Linked DNA regions of Lonchura striata. The protein of the gene in region 1 interacts with the protein of each later gene in a pairwise test. Links are inferred from orthologs where the notes say so. Each region holds a gene or a part of one and is shown in the gene's direction. Other genes may lie near its edges.

Region 1 (8,944 bases):
TGCTCCTCATGCACAACCCTGAATCCTTGTCAAGGCAAGAGAAGGTGGCTAGGAATATGCAAATTTAATTCAGCATTAATTCAGCTTCAGCATTACCTAAGTCAGTGTCTTGCTATTTAAGAATGGTGTGTTAAGGGTAAATGAAATATAATTCGTCAAAGGGAAAACTCAAGATCTGGGTGTGATAGTGTGGTAATCAGTAAAGAAATTTCATTTAAGATCAGCATGATCCTGTTACAGCACAGACATGACTAATAGCAAGCTCCTTCCACCTGCTGGGGGACAGGCTGTTTGTGTGCCTTAACATTTCAGTATTTCAGGGTCTTCATACAGGACTTAGAAGAACCCATGCTATCGCACACTGGAGTCCAATGTGCAAGGGAGCTGGATACAAGTCCTCAGCAAGATTGCATCTGTCTGGTAACCCTTTTAAGCTCATTTCATACAAACTTGGTGAAAATAACATATTACTACCATTGAATGTTACAGAGAGCTCATTACAATTGAGACTCAGTTTCACTGAGCAGCAGCAGAAACTGAGACAGAAGCAGAATAGTTTTATAAGTTTATTGTAAAGACCTTTACAATCTCAGTACAGAGATAAGGATATAAAATGATGCTGTTTGGAATTAAGGCTGGTTGGCGGTCATCCAAATTTCACTGTTCAATGGAACTCAAGCAAGAGCAACTGGTTTCTGACTGTACATATTTTTATTTGTGTTCCATCATTACAGTGAGATCACAAGTTATTTCAAAGACTCAATGCCTGTTTATTATAAAATAAAGGACATTATTTACATGATGAAAGAAAAATTTCAGCATTTTAGTGGAATGGATGACTGATACTGCAACAGGTTTAGTCCACATATTTCCCAAGAATGTCACCATCTCTAAACAAGTAGTAGTCCTGTAAAGAAAAGAACCGTTAGCTTCTCTCATGTAAATATTTTTCTTGTTTTGTAAATACTGTCTTGTTCTGAGTCAGCATTAATTGCAGTCATTAAGAATAAAATCAAAAGTGAGCTAACCAAGAAGTCAACATGTAGAGCTAGTCTTGAAAAAGTTCTTTTTGTTCCTAAGATAATCTTTGGAGAGCTATCAAGTTACTTCTAGCAGTGGGAAAGCACAAGAACGGTTAGAAAACAATTCTGCAAGCTTTCTGTACCAAAAACAAGGATGCCCCCAGGAATTCCTAAGCCTTTTTGGATTCTCTCTAATATGTACTTGACATATGGAACATTTTGCCCACCCAGCAAAGGTCAGGTCAGAGGATCCCATGGTTGCTTCCTTTTATGCAAGGGCTGAAGTAGCAGTAGCACAGCTACCAGAGGGTGGCTGGATCCAGCTGCTCCCTCCCTTGTGTTGTGTGAATGCTGTCTTCTTGTGTGAATGGTGCAAACACCACCAAGTAACCACAGTATTTATCACTGGCATTTCAGGAACCATTCCGATTTGCACTCACAAAGTTGGGAAACCTACCTTATCTTCCAGTACGATCTTAGTTCCACCATATTCTGGGAGCAAAACCTTTTCACCAACTTTTACACTCACTGGCTGAATCTCGCCATTCTGGAAAAAGAAAAAAAAAAAATCCTTACTTTTCTGTGATAGAATACCTCCAAACTACCACAATCCATCTGTGTACAGAAACATTCAGGAAATCACAACTCTGCATTTAGTTTTGACTGTTAATACAAGCGTGAGGTCTTTGCTTGACACACTGAATAGGACTTCACTTAATGAACCATGAAACCCCCTTGTAAAATCAAGGGACAAAGTCCATTTCCATATTCTATAACCAAGGATAATTTCTCCAAGTAATTTCTGTAACTTTGATCAACTTGTCACTGTTGCCATCAATTCACTTGTTTAGGAACACCTGATGAAATTTAATTAAATTTTTGTATTATAAATAAAACATTAACACATTAGTCAAACATTATCACCCTTTCACAATATAAACCATTAAAAATCAGATCCTGACACAAACCAGCCTGGGACGTATAGAGGGACTCACGGTAAAGGAAGGCCAAGGCAATGTGCCCAAGCTGAAATTTAACCTGTTTTCCAGTGTTGCTACTGACTGAACACTGCTCTGGTGGGGAACCAGCCCTTCTGATGTGGGAGCACCCAGGCACTGGCATTTCTGTGAACTCTTATTGGCATATGCATATCCAATGTGCAAAATTAACAAACAGTTATTCAACAATTATTTCTTTTGATTGCTGACTTTCTTTAGTCCAAGAAGCCTAATCCTTATCGATAATGATATTTTGCACAGCACAAGGCAGCCAATACCACATTTTGGGGTTCCACCCTGCTCACAAGTCACAGACATTTGGGCACGTAGTAATTTTAACAAAGAAGTCTACTGGTCCCTCAAGGTTTTGGCTGAGATGTGATGAAATATGGTATCACATAAAACACTGTCTACAAAAGAAACTCCACTCCATTTTACAAATGATGAAAGGAATGCTGGAATTCATTTCAGGACAACTTGAGATTTCTACCTGCTTTTAAATCCCCACTTGCAATTTTAGCCATCACAGTCATCCATTACCACTTTTGCACAACAACCATCCCACTCTCACGGCAACATTCCAGTGACCACCACACCATTACTGGTTCTACCAAATGGAATGCTTCAGGGTGATTACCTTTCCTCTGCCTCCAGATCCAACTGCTACTACTGTTGCTTGTAGTACCTTCCCTTGGGATTTTTCTGGTATCATGATTCCTCCTTTGGTTACTGTCTCAGCCGCACATCGCTCAACCAGCACACGATCAAAGAGGGGAAGAAATTTCCTAAATGCTTTTCCTGCCTGTGGAAGTAATTGTACATTAGTAAGAGCACCATTACAACAAAAACTGCAATTAAAAGGAGTTTTAAAAATCCAACACATAGTGATTCCTCCTTTGAGAGAGATGAATAGTGTAAGACAACTGCTAAGCACTTCTTTAATAGCAGCAAACAAGTACCAGCTCTGACTGCATCAGAAACTCCTGAAGGCACAGGCAGATGCTGGGAAATCCTGACAATTCGGCCGTAGGAAGATGTACTCCAGCTGGGGAATAAACCGCCCTCGGACAGAGCAGACTCCTCTGTCTGGAAAGGCCTCTAGGCTTTTAACACCAAACCCTTAGTTGCTATAGCTTGGCGAACATAATTATTGATTATATGAACCGCATTTCTCCAGTTCACAACCAGATCTAATGGAGATTAAGGACTCCTTGGGAGAGCTACATCTACACTTGTGAAAGGGTTTACATTAAAGAAGCACAAGTCTAACCAGGTGCCCCATTGTCAGCTTTTCTCAGGTGCTTTCAAAAAAATAGGTGAGAATCTGCAGCCTGAACACAGTGCTGTTACTTATCCCAACTTCTACAAAGAGATTCAGAAAAAATTAAAAGAAAGTTTAGGTCAAGAACCTGAAAATGAGAAGCTAGGCACCCTTCTAGCTCAATTGCTTTGGTATCTGCTTCTGTTTAAGCAGAGTCAAGTTGAGGGGTTTTTATTAAGCTGTTGGGTTTTCCTCTCATATCTGGCTTAGTTTTGGGGTTTTTTTACAACTACCTACTGCTACCTGTCTGCATTCCAGAATCGGCAGTCAAATTCCCATAGGCCAGATAAATGCCAGCAAATGCATTTATCCAAAAGCACGGGGGTCAGGAAGAAGGAACTTGCTTTGATTTAGAAGGAAAGATATGGCCACTTGCCAAGTCACATGGAGCTAGTGCTCCACTAGGCAGGTACACAGAGGCCACACTCAGAAAGAGCCAGAAGGGCCTGGCACCCGTGTCCCTTTGCTGGCACTCACCGGTATCCACACACACTTGAGAAGTGGCAGAAAGCAGAGCCACAGGCAGAGCGCGAACAAAAGGCAGCTCATAGAAGATGTATTTGACTGCTGTCAGCAGCACAGGGATGAAAGCTAACCAAGGGAAAAGGCTGCCAGTTCTGTACGTTTCATTCTGTGAAAATAATATCGCTGACCCTCCTTTTTAAGAGCTGTTTTACGTTTACCAAAAATAAAGCTGCCAGACTAATGATCATGAACATTTTACACCAAGTTTTAATTCTTTACGTTATTATCATCACAAGAACCAAGTATCACTGCAAGAACAAGGGCAACTCAGTCAAACTCTCCTTCTTCCCTATAAAAAATTTCACTAAACGTACAGAAGGAGAGCTCTGGAGCGTGGCACAGGTTTCCATCTCCGCAGAGACCCGCCGTGGCCTGTGCGGCCCTGCCCTGCGGCGCTGCTGTCACGGGGCTGCTCCCGTTACTGCGGCGGGGAGGAACCCTGAGCTCGAGTGTCTGCGCAGCCAAAGGCAGCCAGCCCCGGCAAACCTCCCGCCACGTCCCGGCCGCAGCCCCCGCGCCTGCCGGGGAGTCGCCTCTGCCCCCCGGACTGCGTGACCTTGCGGCGCCGCCACCCCGGCTCCACCTTCCCCGCGCCTCCCCGCGACCCAGCGCTGCCCGCGGGGACCGAGCGCAGCCGTGCGCGGCCGCGGCTGCTCGGGGGCCCCGGCAGCGACCCAACCGCGGGGAGAGCGGGGCCGCCGCGGGGCCCCGCGGGCCGTCTGTCCCCGCGGCGCCAGACACGCGGGGCGGGGCGGCCCGGGCCACAGCAGCGATGGGCAGGCGGCGCGGCGGGGCCCCGGCACTCACCATGCTGCTCCCGCGCCGCCCGCACCGAGTGACCGCGCCGCCGCCAGCACACACGTGAGGAAGGTCACGGCGGGCGCATGCGCGACCGGCGCCCCGCCCCGGGGCGGAGCAGACCCGACCCCCGGCCCCGGGGACGTTCAGAGCCGCCGTTTTTTTCCGACCTCTGCGGCCCCCTCTCAGCCCCGGGAACGGCTGCGCCCCGGCGGCACGGCGGGCCCGCCGCGCAGCTCCCGCGGCGCCCCGGGCCGGGCCCCGCACGGAAGTGAGGTCAGCTCACCTCTGACCCGCGGCGGGCATGAGCGTTCCAGAAGGTTCTGGAATCGGCGGGCCCGGGAACATGAATAGTTCATGCTACGAGCCCTTGGCGCATGCGCTGTTGTAGCCCGCGGCCCAGCGCGGCATGCGGGCTGTGGGCGGGCGCGGAGGCCATGCTGGTTCCGGGGCCGGGCGGCCGGAGCCGCACATGGGCCGGCGGCGGCGCGGGGGCGGGGCCGAGGCGGTGAGTGCCGAGCGCCGCCCGCCGCCGCCGCGCCAGACGTGCCCCGAGTCCGCAGAGCCGCGGTGCTGCTCCCGCGCTGCCGCAGGTGAGCGGGAACGCGCCCGGCGCGCCGGGCCCGCGCCGCCCTGCCCGGCTTGGGAGGGGCACGGGGCCCCCGCTCCTTCGGCCGCGCTTCCCGCGGGGGCCGCGCGCCGGGAGCGGCCGGGCCCGGGCGGCGGGAGCGGGGGGCGGCCGCGATGCGGGCTGTGCGCCCGGGCGGCGGGAGCGGGCCCCGCGCCTCCTGCGGGCCGGGGGTGGCGCGGCGGGCCGGGCGGCGGCGGCGGGGGGCGGGCGGCGCTGACCTTGCTGCGCGTGTCCTGGTGCGGCGGCCATGTGCCCGCGGGGCCCTGCCCGGCGCGGGGGCTCCTGCGGGCCCGGGTGGCGGCCGCGGCCTTGTCGCTCTCCTGTCCGCCCTTGGTGGCGTAGCGGGCTGCGGGAGCCGTACCCGAGCTGCCGCTGCGGCCGCGGGCGGGCGCGGCCCCGCGCCGAGCACATGGAGCCGCGGGCGCTCCGCGCTGCCCTCGCCGCGCCCTGCCCCGCTCCGGGCGGGAGGGATCGGACGTGCTGCAGGCCGCGCGGGGCTCGGCGGGAGCATCGGGGACACCCGGCCCGGTACCCGCAGTTACTTGTGTGTCGCGATTTCAGCCACTCGAGAAACTAAAGATTCATCGTGCCTGCTTTACTTCCTGAATCTCTTACCCCTCTTTTCCTGCAGAAGTAGCTGTGCAAAGCCATAATGCTTTTGTTTTTCTCTACCTTTCTTTTAATATTTTAGACATGCTCCGCTTATCTACAGTACTCCGTCAGATAAGACCAGTGTCCAGATCCCTCGCCCCACATCTGACACGAGCCTATGCAAAAGATGTGAAATTCGGAGCAGACGCGAGAGCTCTGATGCTGCAAGGAGTAGATCTTTTAGCAGATGCTGTAGCTGTCACCATGGGGCCAAAGGTAATGGAAGATTTGGCCTTTATGTTAGACCTGGCTGAAAATAACTGTAACAGAGAACAGTTGTTGAGTTTCTCTCGGTGAAGCTGCACGATTGTATTTGCAGACCTGCAACGCGAAAGGGTAGGGGAATGGGGCTCCTGCAAGCAGCTGTAGTCTCATGTCCACCAAAAGTGGGACAATAGTGCACGTGCTTTTTGAAGTAACAAAGTAAAATTGCTTGGAATCTTGTGAAAGGTACATTATATTCGTCTAAACAGTTTGAAGGTTAAGGAGTTGTGCATAATGTGTTACCAGCTCAGTTGATAACCTGTAACAGTGCAGTAGATAATGTAACTGTCTGTGTCGTGGGGTAGGTTAATCAGCGTGTGGGTGGCTTGGTTGGACTTTTTTATGATGCTTGTTTTGTTTGTTTAACAAATTAAAATTTTATATTGGTTTACCTTTTAAATATTAATAAGCTTTTAAAAATAGCCAAAGTGTGATGTTGAGTTTTCAATTGTCTGGTGAGTATTACCAGCCTAAGTACAATTTTGTGGTATTGCATTTATTACCCTATATTCTGTCCTGTAAAGGAGATCTGGGTCTCTTGGAAAACCAGCTGTGGTATTCTGCATAGTCATGCAATGTGCAGTAGGGCTTGAAATGAGATTCCTCTTTTTGAGGAAGAGACATGGATTTTCTTGGGGGTTATGTGAATATTTGTTCCCTATAATAGCATGTGCATGGTAGTTCTTCTGAGGATTGCTTGTCCTCTGTAACATTATTTCATGTATTTTCTGCCCATTTTTAGTGCTCTACCACTTTCATTCAAAGGCAAAAGTGCCATAAAGCTGAGCAGATGAAGGATCAATTATGTCAGGAAGCCGTGACTGCTTCCATGAAGGAACAAAGTTTAAGTGTAGTTGGTTAATTTAACTCTTGTTTTTTTGGATCAGGCTGCTTTCTGAATGCCGAAGCACAGTTCTAATCCACTGGCTAAAGGGCAGTTGCTGATGTAACGTAGTGTAACCTTAGGGGATTTTTGTTCATTATGCTGTTCTTCATGTATTGTAAAAATTGAGGGGTTGTGCTGCAGTGCCTGAGTCTGCTTCTGGCATTTTTAAGAAACATCACTGGTGAGGAAACCTCCTTTGGCACTGCTCTACATTTTAAGGAGCCCAGTTTGCAGTCTCACACAATCTTTTGGTAGTGCTCCAGTATGTTGAACAGAACTGGTTTGTGTGGGAGCCAGACCATTCCTAAATGCCTGTGCAGTTACTGGTGGTGTTTGTTCTCTTCTTCAGGAACACAGACAGGTGTTTTTGCTTCTAAAAGAGCAAGCCCTTTCATGTGATTTGTTATCTAGGTTTTGTTGTGCTCCTCTTCTCAGAGCTATAAACCAACCATTAAGAATAAGACTATATCAAATACAAAACAGAATTAAGCAAACTAGGAGACGTTATATGAAAAATGTACCTACTGGTAGCATGCTCCTCCACAGAGGAGTTTTCTTATACTTGAATCACATTTATATTTAGATGGGCAGGTCAAATAAGATAATTTATTATTTTATCATAACTATTCCGTGGCACAGAGGTAAATTTCAATGAGTTCTTCCCCTGGTTCAGCCTGAGTAACTGAAGCAGAACCTTTCCTTGTAGCTGCTGGGGTGCTGTGCTTCAGGAGCAGCGAGGCCTCGTGCCTGGCAGGCAGCCAGAGCTGGTTCGGTTTTGAGGCAGATGTGTGTGGGCTCCGAGCAGGGGAGGGGCACAGGGCACGCAGCGCTGGGTGCTGCACTGAATCCTTGCCTGGCTCCTGATCCCCACCCTGGGCTCTGGCAGGAGCCGGCGGGGTCAGCTCGGAGCAGGACCTGACAGACCCAGTGAGGGCACTTGTGCAGGGCTGGCTGGGAGGGACACTGCTGAGCTGGGGCTCCCTTCCCTCTTCCAGCAGCTCCAGCTGCCAGGATAGCAGAGGAGTTTCAGGGCAGCACTAAACCAGAGGTGGCTCGAGTTTCTGCTGCCTCCAGCTCCGACTGGAACATGACTGGGACAGCTGTTGGTTCCTGTGTTAGCTCTGCCTGTTAGATACAATGCTCCGGCTTGTTAGTTGGATTCAGGCGAGAGCTAAGATGAGAAAAGCTTGGTAACTTGAAGTGCTTGAGAAATTACTGTAACACATGAACACAAATTTGAAGTATTCTCAGTTGTCTTTGCTAATCACTATTAAGGTTTGCAAGTCTGCTTTTTTTTTTTCCTTACAGCATATGCAACAAATTGAGCTTTGTATTACTTGTTTTTTAATCACAAAGAATGTTTATTGTGATGTGATTAAAATTTTGAAAATTTGGTTATTTGAATTGCTGTACTTTTAATTTTGGGGTAAAATATTAGCATTAGAGAGAATCTCTTCAGTTTTTTCTCTACAGTCAGTGTTACTTAATAGCAGGTATTAAGCATTATGGCTGAAGAATGGAGTGTCATTCTGTGGAAACATAAAGCTTTTGAACCATTTTTCTGGTTTAGGAGAACTTTAGTATTAAAGTAAGTGTTTGAGAAGTCCCAGCTGAATGCCCCGTGTAAGCTGTGACTGTTCAAAATTTTCAGTTGAGCTCTTGAGAGTAACTTGCTTTGGATTAGCTTGGATTTAGAATTTGGTTTTTGTCCCCCTAGGGAAGAACAGTTATTATTGAACAAAGCTGGGGAAGTCCCAAAGTGACAAAAGATGGTGTGACAGTAGCAAAGGCAATTGACTTGAAAGACAAATACAAAAACATAGGAGCCAAGCTAGTTCAAGATGTTGC
Region 2 (8,855 bases), on another chromosome or scaffold:
ACACTATGATAAATCTACAGATATGACTCCACCATCTATTTTCACACAATTGGCCAACCCACCAAAACACGACGTTTTCAGTTTAGCCTGCACTGTTGATTGCATGACCACATGACTGGTTGCAAAGAAGAGGGCTGGATTAGGGCTGCCAGTTCAGGCTAGTGGGGAATTGCAGACCAGGGCAACAGCACCCATGGTCTCTGTATGGGCCAGTGACAAGAGCTGCAGTCCTCTGGTAAGCCAGCAAGCAGTGACATGATCAACACAACACATGGACCTGGTGAGAAAATTGTACTCTGGGGAGAAAAGAAATATCAGCAAGATTAAATTATTTATTTCTCTAGTCTTCTGGAGCAGTGTCCATGCCATACCATACCATGTCCATGTCTGATTGCTTTCTTTTTGACACATGAAATCTAATTTTTGTGATTCATAAATTTTTAACATTTACTTCATTTTCCCCCCTTTTCTCACTGTAACATTGTATTTTTATTTGATACAGTTTTATTAAATCTTATTTGTTTTGCAGGACCTGGTTTTTGGTAGCAGGTGGGCCGCAGAGATGGCTTCTCTTGAAAGCTGCTGGAAGCTTCCACCATGTCCAGCAGAGCCAATCCTTGATGGCTTTGAAGACAAATGTGCAGCTGGCCAAAACTGGGCCAATAAGAGAGGTTGGTGATGCCTCTGTAATGGCATATTTAAGAAGGAAATCAAAACAAAGTCAAAGGTGTTTCTGCTAGTCAGGGTAAAGGAGGAGGTGAGACCATGTGAGGGAAAAAACACGGAGACACAAAGGTCAGTGGAGAGGGAGGGGATGAGGTGCTCCAGGTGCCGGAGCCGAGATTCCTCTGCAGGCCGCGGAGAGACCACGGCGAAGCAGCTGAGCCCCCGCAGCCCATGGGGATCCACAGGAGATGCAGAGATCCACCCACAGCCCATGCTGGAGCAGGTGGATGTAAGAGGCTGTAATCCAGTGAGAGACCTGGTGGAGAGAGGGGCTCTGCTTCCAGGCTGGAGCAGCCTATCCTTGGAGGACTCCACCCCATAGAAAGAGAGACCCATGTCACAGCAGTTTTGGGACTTCCCAGCCTGGGAAGGGAGTTCACATTGCAGTAGATATAGTAGGGCAGCTACTCGTGAGAAGTGGACCCACAGGAGAAGTTCATGGAGGACTGTCACCCGTGGGAAGGGACCCCACAGACTCACAGGGGAAGGACTCCTCTCTTGGAGCAGTGGAAAAAAAAATCTTGGTGATGAACTGACCCAAAAACCCCCATACCCTGTCAGTGGAAAGGAAGGAGGGCCTGGGGAGAAAAGGTGCTTTAAAGGCTCATTTTGCTTCTCATTACCCTCTTCTGTTCATAATAAATTCACCTGGCAGCCTGAAGTTGAGCCTGTTACGCCCTTGAAGTTCTTTTTTTTTATTCTCCCGATCCTTATCTAAACTCATGAAGTCTTTGTTAACTTTTTTCCTCTCCTCTGCCCAGCTGTGGCAGGGAAGGGTGAGAGAGCAACTCTTGTTTGTGCCTGGCATTGGGCCAGTGTCAAACCATGACAAAAAGATAATATAAAAAGTTTTGATTTTACAGGGCCCTCATTTCCAGAAGGTTTTTTTTTTTTAAAAAAAAGGAAGACTTTTACAGCTAAGTGTCTTATCACTTGTACTCTGTTGCCAGTAATAGCAAGAATGGAGTCTCATTTACATTGTTATTAAATCACAGTTAATTTATTATTCTACCTTTCAAATTGCCAAATAAGTTGCATATCTGTAATAGAGAGAACTTGGTTCTTGTGTTGAATTTTGCTGTTGAAGTGGGACAACTCGTTTTTCCAGTAATACTGCAGCTAGCACAAATGAAAATATTTTTAAAGTTCACATAGCAAAAACTTGAGTATTAGAAATATAATATTTAATCAGAAGCACATGTATTAAGGAAAGGGATTATTTTTTTATAATATTCTTCAGAGTTAATTCTTGCAGAGGGATTTGTTTACTTGATAAGCTCAATGGATGGGCATGTTCAGAACCCTTGTAAATTCCCTTAGCTCTGATCAAATTTTAAAAGCTTTGTCTGGCTTGTTTCCCGTTATCTACAACTGACTAATGGATGTGCATGTTTTCTTCCTAGATCTTCTTATATAGCCTTTCTCCTAGGTGATATGGGTTTTCTCTTGCATCTGCTGTATGTTTGCATCTCTCCTTGTCTTGCAGCTGCATGTGTCTTCATCTATAGTAGCATAGAAATGAGAACTGGTGTGTTGACTTTAAGATTTGCTCCCTCACTGATACTGGGATTTTTTTCCCTTTATTTTGGACATCTCTGCACTATGGTTCATGCTAGCATAAATGCCTGACAAATGACAGCAATGTGTTGTTGGCATTTTCTTCACGGGATGGGGAAGGTGACAGAAATGCTACCTCAGAGCCTTTTCCTATATGTTACTGAAAAGGTTTGTGGAAAATTGATGTTCTTTTCATGATAATTCATCACTGGATCTGAGATTACATTGTCTTGAATACATTTGTTTGAATTTATTTTAATTGTTTTTAAAAAGAGATTGGTAGTAAGTGGAAAGAAAATAATAAAGTATTTTAAATAAAGTATAGTGCATTTGAAGATGAAGCCAAATTAAGAGAGCATAAAATTGCACATGGGATATTTTGCTTATATCTTTGGTATGCACCAACTCCTACTCATCACACTTGTAACTCTGAGACCTGGCCCGTTACAGAATGTGCCACACAGCTGTGATGTATAGATGTGCACACATCACATGCCTTACACATTTCTTTAGCACTAAATGTGCTAAAATTAACCATAACTCCGACATTGGTGAAAAACCTCATAGACGCTTGTCAAAAGTTGTGCTAGTTGTCGTCTGTGGTGCCATAGGCTCTCTCATAGGTAAACATAATAACTGACTCGTCATATTTCAAGTGTTTTGATATATTGGCTTATTCATTTAGAAGTGTCACTTCAAGATTATGGCAGCTGTGGACAAGCTATGGAATAATTTGGTGCATGTGCAGTATGCATCTGCCAGCATCCTGCTGGTCAGGATCCCCATCTCTTGCTATTGTGTAACCCACTGTGGGAGCTGAAATCTGTACCACTGATAGGTCTTTAGCCTGATCTGATTTAACCCTGAGATTTTTATGCTTCAGTTTTGAAGACTTTTATAGTAAATAGAAGTGCTCCTCTGTCACATTCTAGGGAAAAGTAATTTTCATTGATTTCATTACTTAATTTCATTAACCAGGGCTAAATAAATCTTAATTATTGTTATTGACCCCAGGTGTATGAAGAAATGAGTCCCAGTGATTTGCTATATTACTAACAAACAGAGAGCATTCACGCTTAGAACTGTTTTTGTTGGGTTTTTGTTGTTCTGATTTATATGACTTGATTGAGGAATATAACTATTCAGAGGTTTCACCGCATTCAACACAGGCAACCCTTTGCTGGATAATCTTTTGATGCTACTGTAACAAATAAAATCATTAATGAAGACAAATACCAGCATCTGTGCTCAGTCCTTGTCTCCATAACACTGATAGAAGACTGGTGTGCTCTTTCTTTTGGTTACTTTGTCTATAGCAGAGGCAAGTAACTGAAATCACTTTTGAAAAGCATTTCAAAGTATTTAAATTTCATGACCCTTAATGTATATACGATTAAAAAAAAACAAAACTGCCTCTCAGCTATCATCACTTCTCTCCATAAAGCGTGCAGCCTGCATTTCCATGGGCAAGCGGCTATTTTGCTGTAGAATTAGCCACCCAGGGCTAAATGTGCATATTGCTGTGCATGGCTAGGGTTTGCTTGACACTTTTTGAAGTGTTGGTATCTGCCTCTCTGCTTTAGAATAATTGTTCCAGGGTGTTAGTCTTCTTATAGGGTGAAGAAGTGACCTTTCCAACATTTTAATGTATCTCTCTCCTTTTACACTGCTTGGTTGATAAGGGAAGTATCTTTCTGCTTTGCACCCGGTTTTATCTTTCAAGTTTTTGGAGAATTTTTTTCTGCACTACTCTTTGCAAGGAAGTAAGAAGTGTGACAGAAAGGTGTGATTTTTAATTTACACCAGAGTTCTCAACAAATAATGACTTTTCACACCCTGTTCTTGTTGCTTAGCCTGGGGGAGGAGTTGTATGGCTACTGTTGTCATATCAAATTAAACCCACTCATGTAATTCAGAAAGGCATTCCTCTTAAACTTAACCCTTCTAAGCTGCTGAAGTCGACAGGCATAAGAGTGTAAACTGAAGTGTGTCTTTTGGAGGATCTCTGCTACTGAAGGATGAAAATGGAAATATTTTATTCAAGGAGTTTTTTTCTTTTTTTGGTTTTCCTTTTCTTTTGAGCACAGATTCTGATGAGGTTTGTGAGGGTGAATCTTCATGTTAGCCTGGAGTTTGCTGCAGGCTTAGGGTATGGAAGGAAATGTTTGACCAACAATGCCAGACACTCATACGTGTGTCTGAAAAACTGATTCCGATAGTGTTGCTGTGCTGTAGATTGCAAGCACGGTCATGGAGCACTTGGTGATCCTTTAGATAGGAGAGCTAAAACACCTTGATAAGAAAATTCCCCTCAGAGAGAGTTTTCTCTTGCTGAGAAGTTCGCAGTGTGGAACAAGCTGTGCCTCTATAAGTTACCTTCCTCTGGGGAGGTCTCTGGTGCTTTGGGGTGTGTTGCACCCCCTTGTCATCCGAGTGTGTCCTTCAGGCAGGAGGCACACAGAGTGTGCAGGATTCACCCAGAGGGTGGATGCACCCATCCCGGCTGCCCCAGAGCCTCTGCCTTCCCAGGGCGCACACTGCATCCTCCCAGGTACCACTGGAGCCTGGAGAAGAGAACCAGCAAACAACAGCAGGGCAGTCTCCTCCCTTCCACCTTTCCTGTCCCTGGCTGTTGGTAATTCAGGGTTAAGTGTTTGCTGGGTACCTGCCCTGCCAGGCGGTGCAGAGAGGGTTAAGGTGCTTGGTTGACTGTAAGCATGGATGTGACAGACTCTTATCTGATGGTGGGGCGGCTTGTTTTTTTTTTTTTTTCCTTCTGTAAAATGTCAGCCATTTCCTGATGAGCCTGATGGTGGTGGCGAATTTCACACCTTTTTTCTTCTCTGTGTGGAAACCTGGGTGTTAATGGTACCGGAGCAGGTCTTGTTTTATAAGGAATGAGGCTGCCTCAGAACAGAGGGAAACCAGGGACGGGAGAGGAGGAGAGGAAAGGGATCCAAGAAAACTGCCACTTACAACAGGCATTAGCTGGATTGTTTTCCACTATTTTTATTCAGAACATGTAGGTATATTATTTCCTAAGTACATTTTTTTAATATGAAATGTTGGAGCTTGGCTTAGAGCTCAGCACAAAAATAATCTATTTTCATTTCAGAGAGAAATTTAACGTTGCAACAATTGAAGATGGAAAGTTGGTCAGTTGAGCAAGTCTGCAACTGGTTGAAACAGAGAAATTTAGGAGAGCTAGTTCCTAAGTTCCGTGGTAAGCATTTTTATTGTTTGGGGGAGTGGTGCTGTTTGTTTAGTATATCTTGCTATGCATTTTATTGGCACTCCCTACCTTGTTTTGGTTTGGGGCATGTATGTATTTGCTAACCTCAGACTTTTATAGAAATTTATTAGGGTGAGAACTGACATATATCTGATAAATCAACATAAGTGTACAAATTTGCTACAAAGTCTGAGAAATCCTGGGGGAAGAAATTAAGCCTGTATATAAATAGACACACCTCAAATCAGAGCTGGCAGTTTAAAAGACCTGACAGGGCCTATTTTATGTTGTAGAAATCTTTTGAAATAATGCAAATGTAGTGTGCAAATGTTTTATGTTTGAGTATATAGACACTTCACAGAAGCGTGCACAAGAAACTGTAATGTGAACAGCCTATTGCTTGTCTACTCTGTTAAAAAGCTTGATTTCCTTCATCAGCAAGTAACAGTCTCCTGTGATTCAAGCAAGGCCTGACTTAAAGCAGTAAAATTGTCACCTCTGCTTCTGTGTGTTTCAGGCTTGGCTGTATGTCAGGGGAAGATATCTGGCCAGTGATTAAGACTCCTGGCACTGCTTGGGAAAGGATGGTGATAGCTGAAGATGACTGTCAGCAGTACAAAGCATCCTTCCCTTTGATCCATCTCCCATCATCATGTGTTTAGGCATATAGCATGTAACTGTAACTATAAAGCTATTTTACAGTAATTCTTTTATCCCCTTCGATCTGCAGAAGAAGAAATAAGTGGAGCAGCTCTTCTGGCTCTTAATGATCGTATGGTGCAGCAGCTGGTGAAGAAGATTGGGCACCAGGCAGTGCTGATGGACCTAATTAAAAAATACCGGCAACAGAAGAGTGGGCTGGAACCCCTTACATACTGTTGTGAAACAGCTTCTCAAAAATTTCCAGAAGTAATCAGTGGGTGAGTTTGTTCATGGCACAGCAAATTTTGGTCTTGGTATAGTTGTGTTCTTTTCATGGCATTTTAAAACTGGAATTTAATAGCTCTTCATCTGTACCTGGTTTTTATATTTTGAGTATCTGTAACAAATGTGAAATGTAACATTAGATTCTTCCCTTGTGGTTTTAAACAGGGCATCAACATTCCTGAAACACACCATTAATTAATTTAAACTTCCTTCATATCCAGTTCTGAGTTCTAGTTTTCATTTGAATGTCAAACTTTCATTATAGCTAAGATTTTCTCTGTTTTCTCTATTAAGCTTTTGAAGAACTTACTTTTAAATGCTTGCAAATCTTGTAGTATAATAATGATTTAGCCAGAGATAGTATTTGTGTCACAGGGGTATTGAAAGTCAGTTTATCAAAGGAAACTCTGGATTTGGTCCAGATGTAAGCATTTAAAATCCCACAGTGGGATTATTGAAATTTATTGTGAAACTACATAGATTTTTAGAAAACAGATTCCAGAGAGATTGTCCTCAGTTATTACATTCTGGGTCTTGTTTAGGCAGGTTTTCTTTGTTTGTTTGGGGTTTCTTAGGGGATGGAGGAGTGGGCAGAGTTTGTTAGGTGTTTTCGTTGCGGGTATTTCTGTGAAGGGTTTGTTCATTCTCCCATTGTTTACCTCCATTCTGATCTATTGTAAATCTTTCAGGGTTATGTTTTTCTGAATATCTTGGCTGAGGAGAGAAATCCTGACCTCTAAGTGGTACCTTTTAAACCCGAGAATCCTGGCTGTCGAGAACAGCTTGCCATGGATCCAAAATGCTTTTTTTTTTTTTTAAAGGAAAGGACTCTAGCACTAAGGCTGCATTAGGCACAGTAGGATTAATCCCAGAGGATTAGAACTGCAGAGCATTTGCCTTCATCCAAAAGGAGTCCAGGTTGTGCACTCCGAGGTGATTAAAAGCCCAAAAAAAGCATGATAGTGATAACTGAGTAACTTCCAAACAATATAGAGCTCATGAGGAAAACTAAACTACACAGGGAGATACATCCTCTTGTCCTTCTGGAAGTATTTGTGAAACTCCTGAGGTAAATGCTCCTGCACTGCTGGAGAGAAGGGGATTGCAGGAAGAAGACTAAGTCACTGCATGTGAGATTTATCACAGGCCTGAAACATGAGACCACAGCCGGTCTCCACTCTCTGCCTATTTGATTTATAGGAAGATCCTTCTTTAGAGGGTAGAGGTGTCTGCTGTGAAGAAGACTACCATGTATAGGTCCTGTACTTCATCCAAAGTGAGGTGGATATGCCATGATTTCAGCAGGGGTTCAGAAGAAAACATGTCCTTATGTTTAGGGCAGTTAGAATGTGGCTTTGGATATTTAGCTTTCTGACTTGGTCAGGGGTATTTGGATAGCCTGTGTCTTAGATGTGACTTTCCCATGTGCTTCTCAGCAGGTGCAGTAGCATGAGTGCAACAGTTTTGCTCTGAAGTTCAGCAGACTCAAAAAAAATTTAAATGCTTAAAATACCAAATCTTAGTGAATATAATTTGCATTAAAATCTTCCCCTATCTAATCTCCTTTTTTGTGTCAGCAAGACAGAATAAAATTCAAACAAGTTTAAGATGCATTCAGTCATGTATTTTAGGATGAGTAAAAAGTCAAATGCACTCTGTGCATTTTGGGGTATAAAAATATGGAAAAGCAGCTATAGTGAAAAGAGTGTTTTGTTACAAAACTGAAAGTTGTATCTTTATATGCAGATAGCTGTGACTCTTTTCTTAACACTGCAGTGCTTTTCTTAGTGATGTAGTTCAAAATTATTTTTGTCTGTTTGATACATCTTGAACAAAATAAGAATAATTTCTTTTGATCTAGTTCAAGGACTCATGACTTAAGTGTATGAGACACTGTTTCGAACAAATGTAAAATTCGTGGTTCTGACAGTTCACGGTGTATGTGAACTCACATTTCCTCCATTGCTCCCTGATGTTAGGCTGAATTTCAGTGAGTAGAGAAACCACGTTAAGCAGTTAATAGCATCCACAGCTGGGTGTGTTATCCCCTTGTGGTGCCAGAGAGCAACACTGAAATCTGAGTTTGCATGCTCCTAGCTCCTATCGTGCAGTGCTTGAGCCCAGGTGAAAACCACCCATCATTTCTGTTTTGCAGAATTATTTCTCAGTCAGGCCAGTTCCCAGAGCTTGCTCACCCTGCCAGGACCAGTGACAGGGCGGACAGGGCATTGCTCAGGGCAGGGAAGAAAGGATCATCATCACAGTCTCTTTCTGAGTCAGCTGAAGTCACTGCGGAGCTTCCAAGAGCCTTCAGCAGTATTTCCCTGTTGTATTTCGCATATAAATGCTATCCCCAGTGCTTTTTGGTGCACTCCTGGCTGCCACCTCTTTATCCTGGTGTCCTTGGCTCATC

The links.
Region 2: the proteins of HSPD1 (region 1) and SAMD3 interact in binary tests that used the Homo sapiens proteins (3 or more experiments, as listed by UniProt). The two-hybrid records come from large-scale screens. The link is inferred for Lonchura striata from reciprocal best matches to the Homo sapiens genes HSPD1 and SAMD3.

The regions. Positions count from the first base shown.
Region 1 is NC_134610.1:28,259,753-28,268,696, forward strand, and holds the start of HSPD1 (60 kDa heat shock protein, mitochondrial), read left to right. Parts: upstream 1-5,154; 5' UTR 5,155-5,257; intron 5,258-5,986; 5' UTR 5,987-5,988; coding exon 5,989-6,162; intron 6,163-8,813; coding exon 8,814-8,944. Other genes in the region: HSPE1 (10 kDa heat shock protein, mitochondrial), read right to left, coding at 857-907, 1,480-1,569, 2,658-2,822, 4,674-4,676. UniProt on the Homo sapiens protein: Chaperonin implicated in mitochondrial protein import and macromolecular assembly. Together with Hsp10, facilitates the correct folding of imported proteins.
Region 2 is NC_134605.1:60,348,878-60,357,732, forward strand, and holds the start of SAMD3 (sterile alpha motif domain-containing protein 3), read left to right. Parts: upstream 1-5,400; 5' UTR 5,401-5,427; coding exon 5,428-5,506; intron 5,507-6,245; coding exon 6,246-6,435; intron 6,436-8,855.